6 linked regions of the Cricetulus griseus genome follow. The protein of the gene in region 5 interacts with the protein of the main gene of each other region in a pairwise test. Links are inferred from orthologs where the notes say so. Each region holds a gene or a part of one and is shown on either strand. Other genes may lie near its edges. The genes, in order: Birc2, Cdc73, Cchcr1, Znf410, Tsga10 and Mid2.

Evidence for each region.
Region 1: the proteins of Tsga10 (region 5) and Birc2 interact in binary tests that used the Homo sapiens proteins (3 or more experiments, as listed by UniProt). The two-hybrid records come from large-scale screens. The link is inferred for Cricetulus griseus from reciprocal best matches to the Homo sapiens genes TSGA10 and BIRC2.
Region 2: the proteins of Tsga10 (region 5) and Cdc73 interact in binary tests that used the Homo sapiens proteins (3 or more experiments, as listed by UniProt). The two-hybrid records come from large-scale screens. The link is inferred for Cricetulus griseus from reciprocal best matches to the Homo sapiens genes TSGA10 and CDC73.
Region 3: the proteins of Tsga10 (region 5) and Cchcr1 interact in binary tests that used the Homo sapiens proteins (3 or more experiments, as listed by UniProt). The link is inferred for Cricetulus griseus from reciprocal best matches to the Homo sapiens genes TSGA10 and CCHCR1.
Region 4: the proteins of Tsga10 (region 5) and Znf410 interact in binary tests that used the Homo sapiens proteins (3 or more experiments, as listed by UniProt). The two-hybrid records come from large-scale screens. The link is inferred for Cricetulus griseus from reciprocal best matches to the Homo sapiens genes TSGA10 and ZNF410.
Region 6: the proteins of Tsga10 (region 5) and Mid2 interact in binary tests that used the Homo sapiens proteins (3 or more experiments, as listed by UniProt). The two-hybrid records come from large-scale screens. The link is inferred for Cricetulus griseus from reciprocal best matches to the Homo sapiens genes TSGA10 and MID2.

The regions. Positions count from the first base shown.
Region 1 is NC_048597.1:122,214,306-122,217,805, reverse strand, and holds part of Birc2 (baculoviral IAP repeat-containing protein 2), read left to right. Parts: coding exon 1-485; intron 486-572; coding exon 573-672; intron 673-3,500. UniProt on the Homo sapiens protein: Multi-functional protein which regulates not only caspases and apoptosis, but also modulates inflammatory signaling and immunity, mitogenic kinase signaling, and cell proliferation, as well as cell invasion and metastasis.
Region 2 is NC_048598.1:46,750,515-46,754,014, forward strand, and holds part of Cdc73 (parafibromin), read left to right. Parts: intron 1-22; coding exon 23-121; intron 122-2,468; coding exon 2,469-2,547; intron 2,548-3,500.
Region 3 is NW_023276806.1:229,456,841-229,460,824, forward strand, and holds the start of Cchcr1 (coiled-coil alpha-helical rod protein 1), read left to right. Parts: upstream 1-1,184; 5' UTR 1,185-1,199; coding exon 1,200-1,491; intron 1,492-1,497; exon of another isoform or gene 1,498-1,515; intron 1,516-2,042; exon of another isoform or gene 2,043-2,065; coding exon 2,066-2,217; intron 2,218-2,437; exon of another isoform or gene 2,438-2,502; coding exon 2,503-2,569; intron 2,570-2,785; coding exon 2,786-2,987; intron 2,988-3,984. Other genes in the region: Tcf19 (transcription factor 19), read right to left, coding at 127-364. UniProt on the Homo sapiens protein: May be a regulator of keratinocyte proliferation or differentiation.
Region 4 is NC_048598.1:119,449,113-119,452,612, reverse strand, and holds part of Znf410 (zinc finger protein 410), read left to right. Parts: intron 1-735; coding exon 736-954; intron 955-3,017; coding exon 3,018-3,209; intron 3,210-3,500. UniProt on the Homo sapiens protein: Transcription factor that binds to the sequence motif 5'-CATCCCATAATA-3', and is specifically required to silence expression of fetal hemoglobin in adult erythroid cells.
Region 5 is NW_023276807.1:10,438,847-10,442,346, forward strand, and holds part of Tsga10 (testis-specific gene 10 protein), read left to right. Parts: intron 1-540; coding exon 541-651; intron 652-2,914; coding exon 2,915-3,100; intron 3,101-3,500. UniProt on the Homo sapiens protein: Plays a role in spermatogenesis. When overexpressed, prevents nuclear localization of HIF1A.
Region 6 is NC_048604.1:39,570,550-39,574,049, reverse strand, and holds part of Mid2 (probable E3 ubiquitin-protein ligase MID2), read left to right. Parts: coding exon 1-125; intron 126-1,595; coding exon 1,596-1,803; intron 1,804-2,171; coding exon 2,172-2,574; 3' UTR 2,575-3,500. UniProt on the Homo sapiens protein: E3 ubiquitin ligase that plays a role in microtubule stabilization. Mediates the 'Lys-48'-linked polyubiquitination of LRRK2 to drive its localization to microtubules and its proteasomal degradation in neurons.

The sequences.
Region 1 (3,500 bases), on a different chromosome or scaffold from region 5:
GAGAAGTGGGCTTGCACATTCGTTACCTATTCCAGAACGAGCGGGTACTCACTCCAACTTGTCCTCAAATCCTCTCAATTCTAGAGCAGTGGAAGACTTGTCATCAAGGACCAATCCCTGCAGCTATGCCATGATTACTGAAGAGGCCAGATTTCTTACTTACAGTATGTGGCCATTAAGCTTTCTGTCACCAGCTGAGCTGGCCAGAGCCGGCTTCTACTATGTGGGACCTGGAGACAGGGTGGCCTGCTTTGCGTGTGGTGGAAAACTGAGCAACTGGGAACCGAAGGATGACGCTATGTCAGAGCATCGGAGACATTTTCCCAACTGTCCATTTCTGGAAAATTCTTCAGAAACGCAGAGGTTTAGTATATCAAATCTGAGTATGCAGACACATACTGCTCGAATGAGGACGTTTCTGTGCTGGCCGTCCAGTGTTCCTGTTCAGCCTGAGCAGCTTGCAAGTGCTGGATTTTACTATGTGGGTAAGATGTTAACAGAGACTAGAACTTTCTCTTTTTTGTTTATGGGAATATACATGAGTCAGTTTCTCATCTTCTTTTCTTGTTTAGATCGCAATGATGATGTCAAATGCTTTTGTTGTGATGGTGGCTTGAGGTGTTGGGAATCTGGAGATGACCCCTGGGTAGAACATGCCAAATGGTTTCCAAGGTAATTGGTTCTTTGATTGTTTTTGTTGAGACAGGGTCTTTCTGTGTAGCCCTGGCTGTTCTGAAACTAGCTCAGGCTGGCCTGGAACTCAACAGCAATCTGCCTGCCTCTGCCTCCTGAGTGCTGGGATTAAAGGCATGTGCCACCGATGCCCGGCTATCCCTAACCTCTTAATTTTTATTATTGCTTAAAATAAATTTAGGGGCACAGTTGTTAGTGAAATAGAATTAGAAATTGTATATTTGTAACCAATTAACTATGTGAACTTGGACATAATTTCTAAAATAAATGGGCTGTTAGGAGTTTTTATCATGATAAAATATACATAAAAATATACCAATTTAGCCTTCTAAAATGTATTCTTGTGCAGCATAAAGTGCATGTGTACTGTTTTACAGTCATGTTCAGAGCCTTTTCATCTTCTCACTCTGAAACTCTGTATCCCATACACTTGAAAGCATCCCCCCCACCCCTGGCAACCAGCCTTTTACTTGCTATATCTGAATTTTTTACTTTAGGTACCACATGTAAGTGGAATCATACAATGAAGAAAGTTTGGACTTGTGCATGCCTTCCATAATAATGATAAATCTGTTGGACCTCCTTCAGGAAATTACAGGGACCTTTGGTCATTTTTGTGTGATATATGATGAAAAGGAATTTGGAAGTAGAAATGTTTATAGTGGATCAATCCATTGTATATGATGGGGTAGGGAGTGCACCCATGCCCACACGCCTTTAATCTCAGCACTTAGGTGGAAGAGGCATGTAATCTCTGTGAGCAGAGGCCAGACTGGTCTACATAGCAAGTTCAGGTCAGCTCAGGTTGAGGCAGAAGGAGTCTGAGGTCAAGGTTAACTTGGGCTACATTGTGAGCCCCAGACCAACTCAGCTAGTTGGCCAGACCCGATCTGGAAAAAAACAGTAAGCAAAAAAAAAATTCTTATCCAAGGAAAATAAAGCACAATTTGCTAGTGGAGGTCATAGGACAACTCTTCTTTCACCATGTGGGTTCTGTGAATGGAATGCAGGTCGTCAGGCTTGGTGGCAGGCATTTCTGAAGGCACCCAGAGTTTGTTTCAAGGGTTCTCTTAATGCAACAAATTTGACAAGTGATTTCATAATGTTGTAGGTCTTATTGGAGGTTGATCTTTAAGAACATGTTTGAAAAAAAGCAACATTTCTCCATAGTAATGCTAGTATGAATTTAGTCTTCACTGTTGAAAATGTCAGAATTTTAAATGACAACCATACTTGTGGGCTTATATGTTGTAACTTGAAATTTAACTTATATATAAAAGACAAAAACGTTCTAAATTCTAACATTTGAATTGCTATACTTTGTAAAACAAAATTCTTCACCCTGTTTTAAATGCCAAGGGAGAAGACAGGAATGGTTTTTGTCAGTGCAGCTCAGAACAGGTTTCAGCTGTGACTGTTTGCTCTCAGCAAAGACAGACTAACAGATGGTCATTATCACTAGGTTTTAGTATATATAGTTCACTCATTTGTCAGATTCAGGTGTGCTGCGCTCTGAGGGCAGTCAGGACTGCTATACTACATGTCTTTAACCATTCTGCTGATTGGTTTCTGTCATTGACACACTGGTCACCTGGGAAGAGGGACCTCAGCTGAGGATTGCCTCCCTCACATCTTAAAGCAGTCTGCTATGAAAACTGATGATTTCAGCTGCACAGAAACTGCCTCTGTCTTCCCAGCATACCATGGCTTTGGTGTCACTATATCCTTCTAAGTTTATTTATTGTTTATCTTCTTTCTTTCTTTCTTTCTTTCTTTCTTTCTTTCTTTCTTTCTTTCTTTCTTTCTTTTTTTGGTTTTTCGAGACAGGGTTTCTCTGTGTAGCTTTGGAGCCTATCCTGGCACTTGGTCTGGAGACCAGGCTGGCCTCGAACTCACAGAGATCCTCCTGCCTCTGCCTCCTGAGTGCTGGGATTAAAGGCGTGGGCCACCAACGCCTGGCCTATTGTTTATTTTTCATATGATAATTGTAGCTACAGTTATTTCTAATACTGTTTTTATTAGGATAGTTGTCACTATAGTTGTAGCTATAGTTATTTCTAACACTGCCTTTATTTAATAGGACAGTTATAACTACAATTGTAGTTACAGTTGTTTTTAGCACTGTGATGGACTGGGGTAGTACTGAAGGTTGATTCTGGGCTTTGTGCATTGTAGATAGGCACTTTACCTGAGTCCCAGTGTTTGTTTTTTTTTTTACCTTTATGATAGAGTTGAATTATTTACACTCTGCATTACAATGTGGAGAAGTCTGAAGATGATTATGTATTTGTCTTCACCTGTAAATTTTGTACTTTCCTGTGCTCTCAAGAATTGCTCTTTGTATTCTTTCATTATAGCTTGTGTATCTGTCTTGTTCTCTTGAAACTCACCACACTCCCTGAAGATGAATATTACTTGCTTATCTGACAGCAGTTTGTAAACACCTTTCTCTTCCTTCTTTTGAATTGGTTCTTGGAAAATTTTTGTCTCCCTTTGTTGTTAGAGTTTTTGTTTTATTTATTTGTTAGTTACTTGTAATCCTGCTTCTTAGATTTTGTGTTGAGCAAAGACCTTTAACTGTGGGTGGGTGTGAGGGTTTGGGCTTGTCAGGGGTATGGCAGGCCCAGACTCCTTGGGAAGTGCAGTTTCATAGTCTCCATGGAGCTTCTGTTAGCTGAAATCCTTGTTAGTGAAGGTTTTAGAGATTCTCAGTGTCTGGGCAGCATCAAAGCTTATGATCTTTCCTGTCATGGGAAACACCCTGGCCAATGGGACCCCTGTTATACCTGTTCTGGCTTGTGAGTGTT
Region 2 (3,500 bases), on a different chromosome or scaffold from region 5:
AATTAGAATCTATTTGTTTTAGAATTTTTCCAAGAATATTTTTGCAATTCTTCAATCTGTAAAAGCCAGAGAAGAAGGGCGTGCCCCGGAACAGCGGCCTGCTCCAAATACAGCCCCTGTGGTAAGATTCTTTTCTGATTATGTTGTTGTTTTTAAGAAAGTGACATTCGTTTTGTATTTTAGTGTTTTAATTGACATCTTAAACAATTTACATCAGTAGGGTGTAAAAGTTTTGTTACTTCAGCATACTCAAAGGCTGTAAAAGACCCTTCCCACTTTTAAAAGTTATTTCAGCAATAATTTGGGTCATTCTTGAGATACACCTGGGTGAGAGTCTGAAAAGGGGTTAACTAGGAAAAGCCTTCTAAGTTAGTTAACTTTTAGGTTATCTGTAGCTGGCCTATTTATTACTTGAGAAAATTGTTAATTATTGTTTAAATATAAATCATTGTTACCTTCCAGTTTGGACTTGTTATTTGAAATCTTTTGTGACCATTTCATATTGGTATATTTATTTTCCCTTGTCACCTGCCATATGGCCCATTTATTGTACCCCAGCTTTAACTCCTCTGGTGGTTGAGCGCCTCACTGTTTAAGGTTATTACTTAGGACCCTCCAAACCCTAAATTCATGCATGCCATATAGTCTCCATTTAAATTCATAAATACCCTCTAGTTTGCTGTAAATCTTTCTACCTGTTCTCAAGATTCAAGAAAGGCAAAAAATATAATTCAGATTAATTGTGTTTTATATAGAGTTTGGAAAAACATTGGTAGAGTGCTAAACATAGCCTTGGAAGTTAATATTAATTTTATTTATGCATGAAATCATTGATATTTAATCTTTACAGATACTGAACTATTGGTAATATTTAGATACCTTTAGTTGATGTACCAAAAATAACTAGTATCTGGTTGTTCTGTAATGTTTTGAGCAACTAGAGATAAAATAATACAATGTCATAGTTATCATTTTTAGTAAGTCAGATATTAAACACATTTATAAAATTTCAAGTTTTAGTCTTACTACTTTTTTGGTGGATTTTGGAAAATAATTTTTATTAAATATGTTTACATCGAATTTTGCTTTTCTTATTTTTTTAAGGAGTCAATTCCTACTTTAAAAATTTGTCAGTTTTTATCTTTAGTGTCATAAATTGTAACTTTAGCTTAAAGATTTTTAGAGTCCTCAATAGTTATTGGTAGGAAGAATGTGAAACCTTAAGATATTTAAACCATTGTCTTTGTGAATGTGAGTATTCCTTCTGTGTATTTTATAATCATTGAAAACAGTTGCAATATTTATGTTTGGCATTTGATCATACAGATGTATATATGTAGCTAAATTCTTGATAATTTTTCTTTTGTAATATTAGAGTGTAATCCTATTGTAACAAAATGAAGAATATATAAATATAGTGATTTTCCTAGGTAACTTTAAAATGTTTTTTTAAATAACTATTTTTAGGTTATTATAGACTATAAGTTTAGTATGAAATATTTGAATTAGATTACATAATTAGAAAGTGTCTATTTTCAAATTTTTAAAACTAACATCTATTACTTTAGTCTTATAGTATACATTAATAAGTGTTTATTGAATGCCTGTTACTTTAGTCTTTTTTTTCTTATTCTTTTTTTTTTTTGTTTTTTTGAGACAGGGTTTTTCTGTGTTTCTTTGGAGCCTATCCTGAGACTTCCTCTGTAGACCAGGCTGGCCTCGAACTCAGAGAGATCCACATACATGCCTTTGCCTCCCGAGTGCTGGGATTAAAGGTGTGCACTACTAACACCCTGCTTTCTTTTTGGTTTTTTGAGACAGGGTTACTCTGTGTAGCCCTGACTGTCTTGGAGCTCTCTCTGTTCAGATTATCATTGGAGAGAGTATTATTTCACAAAGTCATTTAAGTAATTAGAACGTATTTGTTTACCATATTATTTCTGCAGTTTTGATACAGGTATACTTGAAATTGTCTTTATTCTTGGTGTAGGGATGGTCAAGTTTTTGTTTGTTTGTTTGTTTTTTGTTTTTCGTGATAGGGTTTCTCTGTGGCTTTGGAGGCTCTCCTGGAACTAGCTCATGTAGACCAGGCTGGTCTCGAACTCAGAGATCCGCCTGCCTCTGCCTCCCAAGTGCTAGGATTAAAGGCGTGCTCCACCAACACCCAGCGGGATGATCAATTTTTAGTAGCAAATAATATTCAATAGTGAATCCTAGTTATCAAATGCCAAGTAATCTTACCTTATTTTGTCTTCTGGCCTATATTGGGAATAACACTTTTTTTTTAAGATTTTATTTATTTATTATGTATACAACATTCTGCTTCCATGTATATCTGCACACACAGAAGAGGGTACCAGATCTCATAATCAGGTTGTGAGCGACCACTCCAGCCCCTGTATCAGGTTTTAAGAATGTTAAATAAGCCCTTTTTTTTTTCCTTTTTTTTTTTTTTTTTTTTTTTTCAGGATCCCACATTGCGTACGAAGCAGCCTATTCCAGCTGCCTACAACAGATATGACCAGGAAAGATTCAAAGGCAAAGAAGGTAAGTTGCTTGTTTCATATCTTCTTCTCATCCTGGTCATGCTGAGTTTGAGTGGAAGTATAGTTTGATATTTAAGAATAAAGGTTGTCAAGTAACCTATGTAGTCCAGATATAGTTCAGTCACCTGCTTCTATAATAAAAGTTTTTGTTGTTGTTGTTTAAACAGCCATATTTACTCATTTATATGTGATCTGTAGCTGTTTAACTCTGACAACTCTTGTTGAGTAGTTTTGAGAGAGGTCATATAGCCTGTAACACTTAAAAATAGTGTTTGGACTCTATAGAACAAAATTGGTTACCCTCTTGTTGGTAGCTTTGCTTCTGGATTCAGATGGCTTGTGTTTCAGTTAATTTTTGTATGGATTTTATTTTTATTTCAACTGTATTCGGTCATTACCTCACATCTCTAATTAAATGTTAATAGCACTGACAACTTGTTGCAGCCCAAAAGTGACTCAGTTTCCATCTGGAGTCTGTTCTGACTTATAAGACATTAGAGTTCAAGCTTGCTTGTTTCAGTCTCCTTGGGAGCTGTGAGAAAGTTCTGATCAAGCCTATGGAAAAGAACAAATTATCTAACTAACAAGCTTCTGATTCCAGCCAAAAGGCATATAGAAATAGGGAATGAAGCTGCTTGTTGCTAGCAGGACTCAAGTGACAGAGAGTGAACCTGGCCTCTCTTTGATTCAAGGACAGTGCAGAGAGCTGGTTAATTGACTATGCTGTTCTTTGTTCTGCTTTGCCTGTAGTCTGTATATAAACAGGATCTAAATTAAACTCTGTTTGGTGTGCTGAAAGACATGGACCGGGCAGTCCTCCCCAATCTATCCTGTGTTTCTGTCTGTTTCTTTTATATTCCTTTACTCAATCCTCACATCCCTACTTAGATTACCCAGCTGACTCGTTGGAGCAGGCTCCAACAATAACTTAATTCATAGGGTTACTTCTGGGAT
Region 3 (3,984 bases), on a different chromosome or scaffold from region 5:
GGGCAGATCAAACCGGATCCTGCTTGTCTGCTCTACCAGAGATTGACAGGGACTCTGGGAGGCAGGTATGGAGTCCCAGAGGCTCCCCTACTCATGCCATCCTGGGGCTGCCTGCTCACCGCTTACCTTGACTGCTGTGGTCCTCCAGGCTGACCCGCCAGTCGTCCCCTTGGAGCTCAGCGTGCAGCAATGCATGGACCCCAGAGATGAGGCCCGGCTCCTGCTGGGGCCGCAGGGCCACATCACACAGGTCAGCCCTGCAGCCCAACCGATAGGTGCAGCCTGACCTGGACGGGGGGTGGAAGGTGTAGAGATCACCGCCCCTGCCGCCCCCTATGCGCAGCAGCTGGAAGCAGGGCAGCATGGGGGGGTGCTCCCCTCTGCACCGCTTCTCAGCAGTTCATCACCTCTCCTACTCCCAGGCCATGCACCGGGGGCTTCGGTTCAGTTGTCTGACGTCAGCAGCCCCACTGTGGGTAATGCCAACTTGAGAAACACAGATTTCCAAGAGCGCCAGAGGCCTGGACACGCATGCAACCGCTGTAGCTAGCGGCTGTCAAGATGAGACTTCAAAAGCAATTCCGGAGAAGCCCTTTCGCGATGCAAAACCAGGAAGACGTCCTGTGGGACCTCCGTGATGCCGGGTCCTCAGGCCGCAGAATATCCGGGGAGGCTGTAGCAATCTGTTCAAGGCAAAGCTACTTTAAGCGGCAGCTGGGGACACCCCAGCGGGGTGAGGAGGTCCCGCTACACGGACGTGCGTGCGACACGAACGTGTCCCCTCGAGTGTAAGCAGGAGCCGGGAGGGAAGCCTACAGGTCAAACTTCCTAATCCAGGTAGAGCACCCCTTCTGTCCTGCCCCGAGGGAAGGGAATCCGCTGTCACCCACAAAGGGCGGCGCAGACAGGTCCCTAACTCTGCAACAAGGTGGAGCTCACCCTCTCCTCTTGCGCTTGCGGGGTGCCCCGAAGAAGGACTCCACACCCTGTGCCCCTCGCTCCCGCTGCGGTTTGACAGCCAGGAAGCCGCCCTCCGGAGGGCGCGGCTCGGGCGGGCGAGCGGGCGAGCCGGCGGGCGCGCACCGCGCAGACTCCTCCTACGGAATTCCCGGGTCCAGCTTCGCGCCTGCGAGCCCGCGCCCCTCCCCAGGCTGTCTCTGATTGGCCATCTGACTCGCCCTCCTCCGCTGTACTGGACGATGCGCAGGGAGGGGCCGTCCATCTCCCGCCCTCCGCCGTTTCTGATTGGCCTGCAGGTTTCCCGGGTTCCCGGGATGGGGCGGGGCCGCCAGGGCGCGGAGAAGGCCTGGAGGAGTCAGTGTGCCTGCGTGCGCCGTTCTTCTTCCTTCCTCCTTCCGGCAGGCGGGGCGAGTTGGGGCTTTAGAGCATCCCGCCAACCCCACCCGCCGCGCGCATGCGTGCTCAGGGCGGGAAGCCTAGCGGGGAAGCCAGGGGCTAAGGGGCGTGGCAAGAAGGCGGACCTCGCGCTGGGTAAGGAGCGTTCGGCCGGAGTCGGTTGGTTGGGGGCGGAAAGGGGCCTGAGAGGGGGTGCTCAGGAGGGTGGAGGGGGTCCACAGGGCAGGAGGGGTGCAGGAGCCCGGTGAAAGAACAGATGAGGAGGTCGGGGCAGCCTTACAGCTCAGGGTCCTAGTGAGGGGGATGAGCCCGTGGGTGTGTGCAGGAGAGGAGAGGGCAGACCTGAGGACAGCGAGCGACCGGGACCATAACGTCAAGAAAAATGCAGAGTAGGACTAGGAAGAGAAGCGTGTAGGGATCTCGTTGAGTGGAAAACAAACAAACAAACAAAAAATTTGAGTTCGGACGGGAGTTGGACAAAGAAGATGCTGCAGGACTCTGAGCAGCGAAGGGCTTCGGGAATGGAAGCAGAGGGGATAGAGAGAAACTGAGGCCCGCTGCAGGGAGACTCCGATGAGATAACAGGAAGCTGGCTGCCTGGCAACGCGCTCCAGGCTGCTTGCATTCCCTGGGGATCCTAGGGAAGCCGCTTAACCCTACATGAGGCCCCATTCTTCTGGTGCCAGGCCTTGGGCTAACGCTTTTGTAGGAAATGACCCAGAAATCATGGCGCGGTGGTGCCTAGATGGGTTTCCCAACGTCCCTACCATACCATGGCGAGAACTGTGGAGACGGGGTTCACAACAGGCCCGCTCACCTCCAGACCAGAGCTACAGGGATCGTAGACACTTAAGGAGGAAGGTAAAGGCACCACTCACAATCCTGTAGTAGAAGCAAAATCCCCAAGAGCATCCCCTGGCCCCCATCTCGGTACATTTACCCCATGATTGTTGCCTGGTTCCTTTGTCAGGAGCGTGTGTTCGGGACAAGCAAGTCTGCCTTGTTAGGGAAGTAGGGAGAGAGAAGCTCAGAGCTGGGCAGATCTGTCAGTAACTGAAGGATTGTGGCTTTGTTATTATAGGACTTCCTCTTTGGAAGGTGGCCTGAAAACTGAACTGGAGTCTCCTTGTTTCTCCTACTGTCCAGGGGAACCTACACTCTTGCGGACAAGATCGAGAGGCTTCAGATAGAGTGGAGATGTTGTCTCCCTCAGGTCAGTAAGGCCAATCAAGGAGGCTGGGAAGTCTCTCTGTGTCTCTCTGCCTCTGTCTTTCTCCCTCTCTCCCTCCCTCTCCTCTCTTTCTCTCCCTCTCTCTCTCCTTCCCTTCCTCCCTCCCCCTCCCTCCCTCCCTCCCTCCCTCCCTCCCTCCGTCTTCCTCTCTCTCTCTGAGAAACTGACAGTCTTTACTCTTGTGACCCACCCCCTCAGGTTTTGCTGGACTGGTTCCTCCCTCCCACTTCCAAGCTCGGCCGAGAATGGCCCCGACCTGGGCTTCAGACATTCCCCAGTTCCAATCCACATTTGACCAAGATGTCCTAGAGAGGCGGCAGCTGGACTCTCAGAGGCCCACAGTGACCATGAGGGAACAGGATGTCTATGGAGATGGGCAGGGGCCAGGGCAGAGAGGCAGGTAGGGATCTGTCAATCACCTTTTTCTCAGACTTGCTAATGATCCTTTATACACACATTCCTTTATTTCAGCAGCCCTGGGTTCCATAACTTGTGTGGTTTTCTGTAGGCCATTGTTGGTACCTACACTGCATATACCATTATGCCCTGGAGAAAATCAAGAGAGAGGAGAGAGAGAGAGAGAGAGCGCGCGCTCTGGACTTAAATTCCCAATTAACAAGTGTTGCTAGAGTTTCTTTTCCTCCAGGTCCTGCCACCGCTTCAGCCCCAAATAAACACACAGACACTATATTAGTTATAAAACAGTTGGCCAATGGCTAGGGCTTCTTGGTGGCTAGCTCTCTCTTCATCATTAACCCACTTCTATAAATCTATGTATTTCCACGTGGTCTTGGCTTACCAGAAAATGCCCAGACCTGTTACTCCTTTGGCAGCTACATGGCATCTCCTCCCTGCATCTCTCCCAGGGTTCTCCCTGTCTCCCTGCCCCACCTATCTTCCTGCCTCTTTTGGCCAAACAGTGTTTTATTCATCAACCAATAAAAGAAACATATATACTGAAGGGCATCCCCCATCATCTCCTCTTTTCTGTCTAAATAAAAAGAAGGGTTTACTTTTACTTTAACATAGTAAAATTATATATAACAAAAACAGTTATCAAGTAAAAACATATAGTTAACAATAAAGAAGGAGTGTAAATGTCTGAGGGAGGAGATGGATTGCCCAGAAGCCATTGTGAAACGAAGTGACATGCTGGCTCTTAGTTAAAAGGGCCTTTCCCGGCATACACCACTGGAGCTGGCTATGCTCGGCATATGTGGTTTAAGATTTTATTTTTGAGCCGGGCATGGCCTGCCTTTAATCCCAGAGAGGCAGACAAGCAGGCAGATCTGAGTTCAAGGCCACTCCCTCCCTGGTCTACAGAGTGAATTCCCTGACAGCCAGGGCTACATAGAGAGAATCCTGTCTGGGGAAAAAAACAAAACAAAACAAAAAAG
Region 4 (3,500 bases), on a different chromosome or scaffold from region 5:
AAAATGGTGGTCCTGTCCATTTTTTTATGATAGTATTTGTCATCTGCTTAAAAGACAAAAAGGTGTTACCTGCCCCTTACAAAGATGAGTGAAAGCCTCTGGAAATATTGTATACTTCGTCACACAGTGTAATTCCTGATTATATAGAACCATTATATCTAGTTCCTATCCCCTTTAAATGTTAACTTTCATTTAAAATAGTTTATTTTTAAAAATTAAAAAATGGGGTGTTTTTATTTTTTTTTTATTTTGTTTTTAAGGCAGTCTCATGTAGTGCCCCTCCCCCTTAGTGCAAACCTCCTTTTTAGATTTTTGAGACTGGGTCTCTATGTAGCCCTGGCTGTCATGGAACTTACTCTGTAGACCAGGCTGGCCTTGAACTCACAGAGATCTGTCTCTGCCTCCGGAGTGCTGGGACTAAAGGGATGTGCCACTGTGTCCAGCTTAGAACAAACTTCTTTAGAGCAAGTGTTTTAAACTATTTATGCATATTCATTGTAAACCCCAAACTGTAGTGAAACAGACTAATCTACAAAATGTCGGTGGTTTCCCTTGCTGTTTCCCCCCTGTGATTATTCTAAGGCAGTTTTTGTATTTGCAAAAATGAGAACGCAGTATACTCTTGTAAGGTCCCTGGAAACTAAGTGGAGTTGAGCATCTGTGGTGCTATTTACTGAGAAGGTGCGCTCCCTGGAGGCGAGTGTTACATAAAGCTGTGGTGTTTCCCTTCACTAGATGATACTCCAAACCACACTAACTCCTCCAAGGAGGTCCCTTCTTCAGCTGTTTTGAGGAGCCTTCAGGTGAACGTGGGCCCAGACGGAGAAGAGACAAGGGCTCAGACTGTACAGAAGTCCCCAGAGTTTCTGTCCACTCCAGAGTCGCCTAGCTTGTTGCAAGATCTACAGCCAAGTGATAGCACTTCTTTTATTCTCCTTAACCTAACAAGAGCAGGTATGTTTTCATCTTTTCTGAACTCTATTCATTTTTTAGGGGAAAAAGTTAGAGTCGGTTCAATATTTAATATTCATAACACGCAAAGAATCTTTATGATTTGATTACATTAGAGTTGGTGTGATCTGGTGACCTGTTGAATATATAAAAGAAGTGCAAAGACTCAATGACTCTGCATTTCCTCTTGTTTAACTTTGTGATATGGTGGGTTATAAATTTTGTCAGTTGTAAGAATAGTTTGCTCACTGGGTGGTGGTGGTGCACGCTTTTAGTCCCAGCACTCGGGAGGCAGAGGCAGAGGCAGAGGATCTCTGTGAGTTCGAGACCAGCCTGCTCTACAAGCGCTAGTTCCAGGACAGCCTCCAAAGCCACAGAGAAACCCTGTCTTGAAATACAAAGAATAGTTTGCTTTTCCTATTTTGGCTTTTATCATTCCTGTTCTTCTCTGCAGCCTGAGAATGCTGTCTGCTCTTGTAAGTGTGTTGGGTGTTAGATGCTGTGTATCAAATGGTAAATGCCTTGGATATGGGTGGTTTCTCTGTGAAGCACTGACTGTCTTGAAATTGGGATCCCCCTGCCTATACTGCTGAGTGCAAGGGTAGAGTGTGCCAGTATACCCTGCAACAGAAACTTTTGTTTTTTGGGTTTTTTGTTTTGTTTTGTTTTTTGTTGTTGTTGTTGTTTTTTGGAGACCAAATTTCTCTGTGAAACAGTCCTGGCTGTCCTGGAACTGGAACTTGATTTGTAGATCAGGCTGGCCTGGAACTCACAGAAATCCGCCTGCCTCTGCTTCTGCCTCCAGAGTGCTGGGATTAAAGGCCTATGCCACCACCGCCAGGCCGGAAACCTTGTTTGGAAAACTAATGTGGTGCCCTTGACCAAGACAGTAAGAGCAAGAACAGGTTTGGAGGAGGATGCTTAGTTCCAAATGAGTCTGTTACTGTTTTGATACTGGAGGTACATTGAGGAGGGAGTACCTTTAGAGAGTGAAAAATAGGAATCCAGGGTGGGCGAGGGGTTGGTATAAAGTAGCCAGTTGGGCCACTCATCACATTCAGAAAATGTGAAACATGGATCATGGATTCTTTGATTCTAGAGAGGTTTGAAGCATATGTAGAGAAAAAGGTAAACCTAGGACCCTGGGAAGGGGGACATTTAAGAGGACAACAGAACAACAAGGAGAACTGGGAGAGAATGGTGGGTGGGAAATGATTCCAAATACTACAGGATGAACTAGTGAGATTAAATGTCTGTCAGATGACCTTTGTAAAATTAACAGTTATTGGAAGATAGGCGTGAGAAGAGAATGGGATGTAACTGAATGGGAATACCAGTTAGAAGGCAGAGTTGTTTTAATGCTTAGTACATACCTGTAGCTAAAGCAGGAGGACAAGTTTGAGGCCAGCCTAGGCTAGGTTGCTCAAACAAAACCAACAAGTTGGGCGTGGTGACACACACCTTTAATCCCAGTACTTGGGAAGCAGAGGCAGACCTGTGAGTTCAAGGCCAGCCTCGCCTACCTAGGGCTCTTAACTGCTGAGCCGTGTTTCCTGCCCTACTGAGAGAATTTAACTGAAGTGTTCATGAGAGAATGACTGGGCATGGGATATTTCAAATGGGAGGTGGCTGGGTTGCTGGGATAGAAAAATTTATGCCTGTGAAACAAGAGGAGGCAGAGTTAACAATTAGCATGTGGACTGGATGGAAAAAATGATTATCTTCTTCTTCTTTTTTTTTTTTTTTTTTTTTTTTTTTTTTTTTTTTTTTGGTTTTCAAGACAGGGTTTCTCTGTGGCTTTGGAGGCTGTCCTGGAACTAGCTCTTGTAGACCAGGCTGGTCTTGAACTCACAGAGATCCGCCTGCCTCTGCCTCTCGAGTGCTGGGATCAAAGGCGTGCAACACCACCGCCAGGCAAAAAATGACATCTTAATTATTTATAGGAACAGAAACTTGAAGTGAGATAGAAAGGTCTACAATGATTTGGTTCAGGACATGAAAGTCTCTGGGCCAGGGCTAATGAAAGAACGTTGGCTGACCTCCCTGTATTATTGTCCTTCTTCCAGGTCTGGGCTCTTCAGCTGAGCACTTCGTGTTTGTGCAGGATGAGACAGAGGATTCAGGCAATGACTTCCTCTCTGGTGAGAGCACAGACAGCAGCATTCCATGGTTCCTCCGGGTCCAGGAATTGGCCCATGACAGTTTGATTGCTGCTACTCGTGCACAGCTGGCAAAGAATGCAAAAACCAGCATCAATGGTGAGACTCCTTTGGCATTCTGTACAGAGGTTCGGGTAATTCGATAGCTAATACTCTTTTATTGATGAGAATGGAAGCCTATATTAAGTTGTCCTATTGTATAAAGTAATTTGGCTTTATCTTCCAAACCAATAAACTCATGTTTTAAAATTCCAACTTTTAAGTAATGGGCAGAGCATCTCTTAGAGAACAAGTAGGTCCTGGAGATGGTGGAACCTCAGTCCCAGCATTCATGAGGTTGAAGCAGAATGATTTATATAAACTCATTTATATAGAGCTCAAAGACGTTAA
Region 5 (3,500 bases):
ACAGAGAAACCCTGTCTCAAAAAAAAAAAAAAAGTTTACATTTAAACATTTTTTAAAATTTAAACATTGTAAATATAATGTTCTATATTTCAAATACAGAAACTGTCTTTCTTCTCTTTATGGATATTTGAAAATGCCTCAATGTATCTCTATGATAATGTTTCACAGTTTCATTGTAAAAATTTTTGTTTACTGTAAACAATACACAGAAATACCTATTCCTTAGCACAACTGAAGCTTTAACTCTTCACTAACTTGGTAGGCAAAATACTATTCCATTGTCTTAATTAGCAAATCTTTGGTTACTAGTGAAGTTTAATTTAGTGTTACCAACTTATGCTCGCTTATGATGACTTGTCTGTCTGGGTCCTTTGCCTGTTTTCTCTTGGACTTCTGTTTCTTTACCACTTTCACATAAGTTTTATATTGTTGTTATATTAATTTTATATAATCATCTGTTTCAAATATTTAAAATTTAGATGTTTTACACATAGGGATTTTTATTTATTATAGTCAAGTCTAGCTATCTTTTTTCCATAGGCACTGTCCAAAAAATTGAATGATACTCATAATGAACTCAATGATATAAAACAGAAGGTCCAGGATACGAATTTGGAGGTTAACAAGCTGAAGAATATATTAAAGTCAGAGGTACATATACACTTTTTTTCCTTGCTCATGATACCTACAAATTTTCATAAGACTTAGTTTAGTGGTCTATTATGTTCATCAGAATAGTGAATCAAGTCTTTCTTTAATCAAATATTGTAGTTTTGGCTGTGGCAGATTAACTGTATACATTTAGAATCACCTGTCCCAAAGATGACTCAAGAACATGTATGTTTCAGTTTGCTAAATGCAGAGTAAACACCATCAGCAAGTAGATTCTTCTTAAAGAACAAGGGGCATAAAATACTACACTTTTTTTTTTTAAATAAACTGACAAAAGTGGCTCTTCCTGATTGTTTGACAGGGCAGAACAGATCACACTGTTATTAGACCACCTGTTTCTTAAAACCATTTGCGTATTTCTTTTAGGCACTATTTGACTAGTTTTGTGTGTGTGCGTGTGTGTGTGTGTGTGTGTGTGTGTGTGTGTGTGTGTGTGTGTGTGTGTGTGTGAGAGAGAGAGAGAGAGAGAGAGAGAGAGAGAGTGTTCTGAGATTTCTGATTGTAGATGTATGTGTCATCTCTATAATACACAGCTTGTCTCAGGACAATAGAGATGTATTTAGATAAAATGATCGAAAATAGAGTAATAGATCAATATCATAGATGTGATGTTACCTACATCAAAGACTCAAAGTGTGAGTGAAAACTTTACTTCCCTCAGCTGCATATTTTATTTAATATATAATTTAACATCTGTATACAAACATTTTGAACTTTTGTTCATAGCATACATAAATAACATTTAAGTGCTTAGAGAGGTAAAGCATTCTTAGGACTCTTAGGTTGTACCCATCACCTTCAAGAGCTTTGGAACTTCTGGGTCTTGTGAGGCAAGTCCTTTAGTGCACACTTAGTTTAATAGTCAGGGTAAAGATCTTTTACATCTAAGACCACAAGATGGCAATGTTAATTGGATCACAATAGTTTCTTAGTAGTAAGTAATTTTAAATGGGAGAATATACATTTGCTTAGAAAAGGTGGGGTATTAATTTTTTGTAATTTGGTTATTTTATTTAGCTCAGGATTTCTGATAGAGAAATATGGTGTTAACAAAAAGGAGAGTGTTCCCACTATTAGTAAAAATGTAACTGAAGTTTAAAGAACAAGTTAGGCAAACCACAGTACTAAAGCTTTTTTCTTTCTGTGCATGTATGTTCTCTCTCTCTCTCTCTCTCTCTCTCTCTCTCTCTCTCTCTCTCTCTCTCTCTCTGTGTGTGTGTGTGTGTGTGTGTGTGTGTGTGTGTGTGTGTCTGTATGTGAGTGCAGGTTCCTGCAGAAGCTAGAGCTCCTTGGAACTGGAGCTTCTGGGAACCAAACTTGGGTCTTTTACAAGAGCAGAATAAGCACTTAACTGCTGAGCCATCTCTCCAGCCCCAAAGATATGATTTTGAAGTAGCCAGTAATGGCTTTTTAATGTAGCATATTATTTATGGAACTGAATTTTCACTATAGAAAGAAGGTCATACTTAAACTAATTCATTTATGATATCACCTTGAAGATTCTGGTTCCCACAAGTGGTGGATGAAACTCAGAGGTAAAGTAGTTGTCTAGCACATACAAGGTCTTAGGTTCAATCGATAGCACTGCCAGAACAATCTGGTTCTGTATTGTGTGTACAACTTATGCATGTGTATATTACTAACACACATTTAATAGTTTCCTTCTGAGCAGTTTCTGACAGTTTAATAGAAGGAAGCCAAAAAGAGATTATAGTCTATGATCAAGAAAGTTAAGCCTCAAAGTCTCAAGACATGGCTCAATGGGGAAGAGCATTCTTACAGAGGATCCAAGTTCAGTGTCCAGAACCCAGGTCAACTCCAGGGGACTCAAAATCTCTGGTCTCCAAGGGCACCAGTACTCAATGTGCATATGCACTCCCCCCACACCATTAAAATAATAATAAAAAATCTTATCAGAAGTTGAAACTTAAGATATGAAAGAGTACAGAAATTCTGTGCCCACTACAGCTCACTAGAGTGATTGAGAGCAAGGGAACACTGATGAGGTTAGCAGCTCAGAGCAGCAGGAGTCAGTAAATAGTCATGGGGTGGGGTGGGGGAAGCAGCAGGTGAGATCATGGTACTTCTTTATGTTCCTAGTAGGATGACCATCTCTCTAGGCTAGGAGGGTAAGTAGGATTTCTCCAAGGTTATGTTGCAAGGGATTCCCCATGGCCTGGATAACAGTGTTCCATATGCACTTTGTGTCAGGCACTTGTAATACCCAATACTTGCTTTTCAGGAATCTGAGAACCGGCAAATAATGGAACAACTCCGAAAAGCCAACGAAGATGCTGAAAACTGGGAAAATAAAGCCCGCCAAGCAGAGGCAGAAAACAATAACCTCAAATTGGAACTTATCACTGCTGAAGCAGAGGTCAACAGATTAAAAGAAAAAGTTGATGCCCTTAACAGAGAGCTTGAGCAAGTAAGTTTGTAGAAATGTGCTTATGGTATATCCTGTGTCATATTTAAGTGAATTCTCCTTAGCTTTTCATAAGTTTAATATATTGACAGTTTAATTATATAAATGCACTGTAAATTATGGCCTCTTATTCTCCTATCTACCTTGATTCTCTTAGGTACCCACAACCAGAATAAGTATCAGCCTTTTTTTTTTCTTAAATTGGGAATTGTTTCAAACAAAAACAACAAATTTTTGAGAAATAATAAAGCAGATCTATACCTGTCCTACAGATGTAATAACATTAGCATGTTGCCACATTCATTTTATATTATCTTTGTTTAAAGAGACAAAAGATCAGAGGCAGGAGCAATGGCTCATTGGTAAAGAGCTTGCTGATCTTCCATGGGACCTGAGGTCCATT
Region 6 (3,500 bases), on a different chromosome or scaffold from region 5:
CAACATTAAACAGAACCATTACACAGTGCATGGACTCCAGAGTGGGACACGCTACATCTTTATTGTGAAAGCCATAAATCAAGCGGGCAGCCGGAACAGTGAACCCACCAGGCTAAAAACAAACAGTACGTTTTGGAGATTCTAGAAGGAAAGACCAGCTTTCCTCTCTGTGCCAGGGAGGACAGTTAGCCTGAGAGACTCCCCCATTATAATGTGTGAGAGCAGTGGCTCTGAGTGGAGGAGCTTTACTGTTATGCTTGGTCTATGGGATTTGTTGGTACCCATGGATGTTTGTGGCCTAAGATATATAGAATAGCTTGTGGCCTAGAAAGAAGTTAGGGAAGGGTTTTTCTCTGCCTTCCACCCCTGGGTCCTATGCTTGGGAGAAAAATTCAGTTAAAGAGTTGTTTCTTATGACGATCTACAAAGCTCTACCATAGAGAAGCCCTATCGGTTAGGAATGTTCTCGGTCACAACTGACACAGTTTAACAAGTATTTCCAAGTAGCTTAAGTTACTAGTTGTTTTAGTTAGTTTGTTTGTGTTTAAACATACATAGCAAGAAGTTTGAGGGCAGCCTGATCATGGCTAGTATAGCAGCTCTGAGATCTCATGGAAGGTTGGAGCTCCTTCTTTGTGCATTGGTTTACCCACAAGGTCGAAAGATGGCCAGTGCAACTGCTGATGTCATAGTTCCCTTACTAGGAAGAAGGGAAAAGTTGGTAATCTTTTAATTAGGAAACAGAAGCTTAACTGGAAATTTCTTCCAGTCTCTTTGACTTCAGTGTCCTTCTTATTAGCTGTCCCTAGCAGCAAGGAAGGCTGGAAGACTGAGTGAGAGAGAGAGAAAAAAATAAGTAATGGATACTGTATTAGCACACAGTGTCTGTTACAGAGGCATATTGTGTACTAAATCTCTTGCCCTAACCAGCACCGGGGGCCTGGGACAGTGTTTTTGGCATAGGGTTATGAGTTTCTGCAGCAAAGCACATGTTATCTTTCATCATCGACCATGGAGCAGTCACTGTAACAAAGTCGACTAATGACACGCACTCTCCAATTAGAAAGCCAACATCTCCGGTTGCTGAGCTCTTCTCAGTTTTTCTTTAGTGATCAATGGCCTCATTAACACAAGCTTTTCTACCTCAAACATTGCAACACTCTTTTAAAAAATCTACCCACATCCCCACCCACTCACTGAAATAAACCAAAGTACCAAACATATTTGAGGATGTGAGACTTTGAGTGGTCCCTTTTAGTTTCATAACATATGATGGGAATACTTTACTAGCTCCCATGTGCTTGGACTCTGGCTTCCAGCATAGCACTCATATGAGAGCCCCACATTTTTCACACAGATGGAAAATAATGCCTGAATGAAGGTTATTTTAGGGGAGGAATGACTTGTATTCTGACTTAATTGCAAAGTGTGCCATCTTGCCTGCTTCCTTAATATAATCCAAACTCCAGCTGACCTGCACTTAGCGAAGGATCACCGTCATGTTGAGGATCCTCTGCTAATGATGGTCCCGGAGGGAAAGGCACAGTTCTTAAATCCTTGATCATGCTTTCCCCCTTTCCTCTACTTTTTTTCAGGCCAACCCTTTAAACTAGATCCCAAAATGACTCACAAGAAGTTGAAGATCTCCAATGATGGATTGCAGATGGAGAAGGATGAAAGCTCTCTGAAGAAAAGCCATACCCCAGAGAGATTTAGTGGCACTGGGTGTTATGGGGCAGCAGGAAATATATTCATTGACAGTGGCTGCCACTACTGGGAGGTAGTCATGGGTTCTTCAACATGGTGAGTGGCTATTTTTTTCTTTCCTTGTCCCAGCTTCTCTGCTGTTAGGTTCCTAGGAGATTCAATTCTACCGCACAGCTAAAATACCAATAAGTCAAGGTTAAGAGATATATGATAGGCACCAGTGCTAGAAAACTTGGCCAGCTTTTAAAAGATAAAAATCATGGAAAATATAGTGGGCTAGGAGCTGAAGTGCTGTATCACTCTAATTGCTGGCTTTACAAGATCTGATGATAATTAGCATTATGCCTGTAAATATAAATGTTTTAAGGAAGAAGCACAGTGAGTCACTCGTAGGTCCTAAATAATGTCTAACACAACTCATATCATCCATAAATACTTTTCTGTCTTCTCCTCCACTGTCTCAGGTATGCAATTGGTATCGCCTACAAATCAGCTCCAAAGAATGAGTGGATTGGCAAGAATGCCTCTTCCTGGGTCTTCTCCCGATGCAACAGTAACTTCGTGGTGAGACATAACAACAAGGAAATGCTTGTGGATGTGCCCCCACAGCTGAAGCGTCTAGGTGTCCTCTTGGATTATGACAACAACATGCTGTCTTTCTATGACCCAGCTAACTCGCTCCATCTCCACACTTTTGATGTGACCTTCATTCTTCCAGTTTGTCCAACATTCACAATCTGGAACAAATCCCTCATGATCATGTCTGGCTTGCCTGCCCCAGATTTTATTGATTACCCTGAGCAGCAGGAATGCAACTGCAGGCCTAAAGAATCCCCCTATGTGTCTGGGATGAAAGCTTGCCATTAAATGGCAAGAGAGCATGTAATTCACTGGCTCTCCACTTCAGCATTTCTTCCCCTCTTGAGCCGCCATTAGTGTTCCATATGTGAGATACAAAATACAGTTCATTGGAAGCACCCTAAATAACTAGATATTGTAGATTTAATTTTTTGTGCATTAAAGCTTATGTTTGGATTCATGTATTGAGTTACTCAGAACAAATGATCTGAATAGTCTGGGTTCATGACATTGGGGAAGAATTTTAGAGAATATCTCTGTCATCATTGGGAAATTAAAAATTCCCAGTGGTTTGAGAGTATAAATGAAATTGGAAAGAATTAGCCTTTCTAGCAGTGGCTAGGTGGACCAGATGGAATTTGCACAGTTTCAAATTATCATATTTGTCACTTTTTAATAAACTAACAATCAAGGTGTTATGAGAATATCATACATGTGTATATATAATATATAAAATGACTGAATTCATTTTATGAGCAAAATGGCATAGATCATTTTATCTATTACATATATACGATAAACCTTAATTTGTTCATTTAAGTGAGAGATATATTGAAAAGGAAAATGAATTATACTGTCCATTCTTATCCCCTAGATGAAACATCACAGTAGACTGGTGTTTTTCTCTTCTTACCTTTTAGCCTTTCTTCCCAGACCCCCTCCTGTCACACATAAAAACACATGCAATCAAGACACAGGGAGTGAGAAGAGCTCTTGGTTAGATTAGGAGAGCTCTGTGGACAAGATTGCTTAAGAGATGCTACTGCTACATTGAAAATTGATTCTGGTCTAGTGTGCTGTGTAGCATAATTTCATTGATATTATTTAATAGAGGAGATTTATTTGAATTATTAAAAATTGTCATAGAATATTTCAAAGAAATATAGTTTTGTTACTCTCAAATACATAGTTACTAGACTTACGCTAAAAAATAG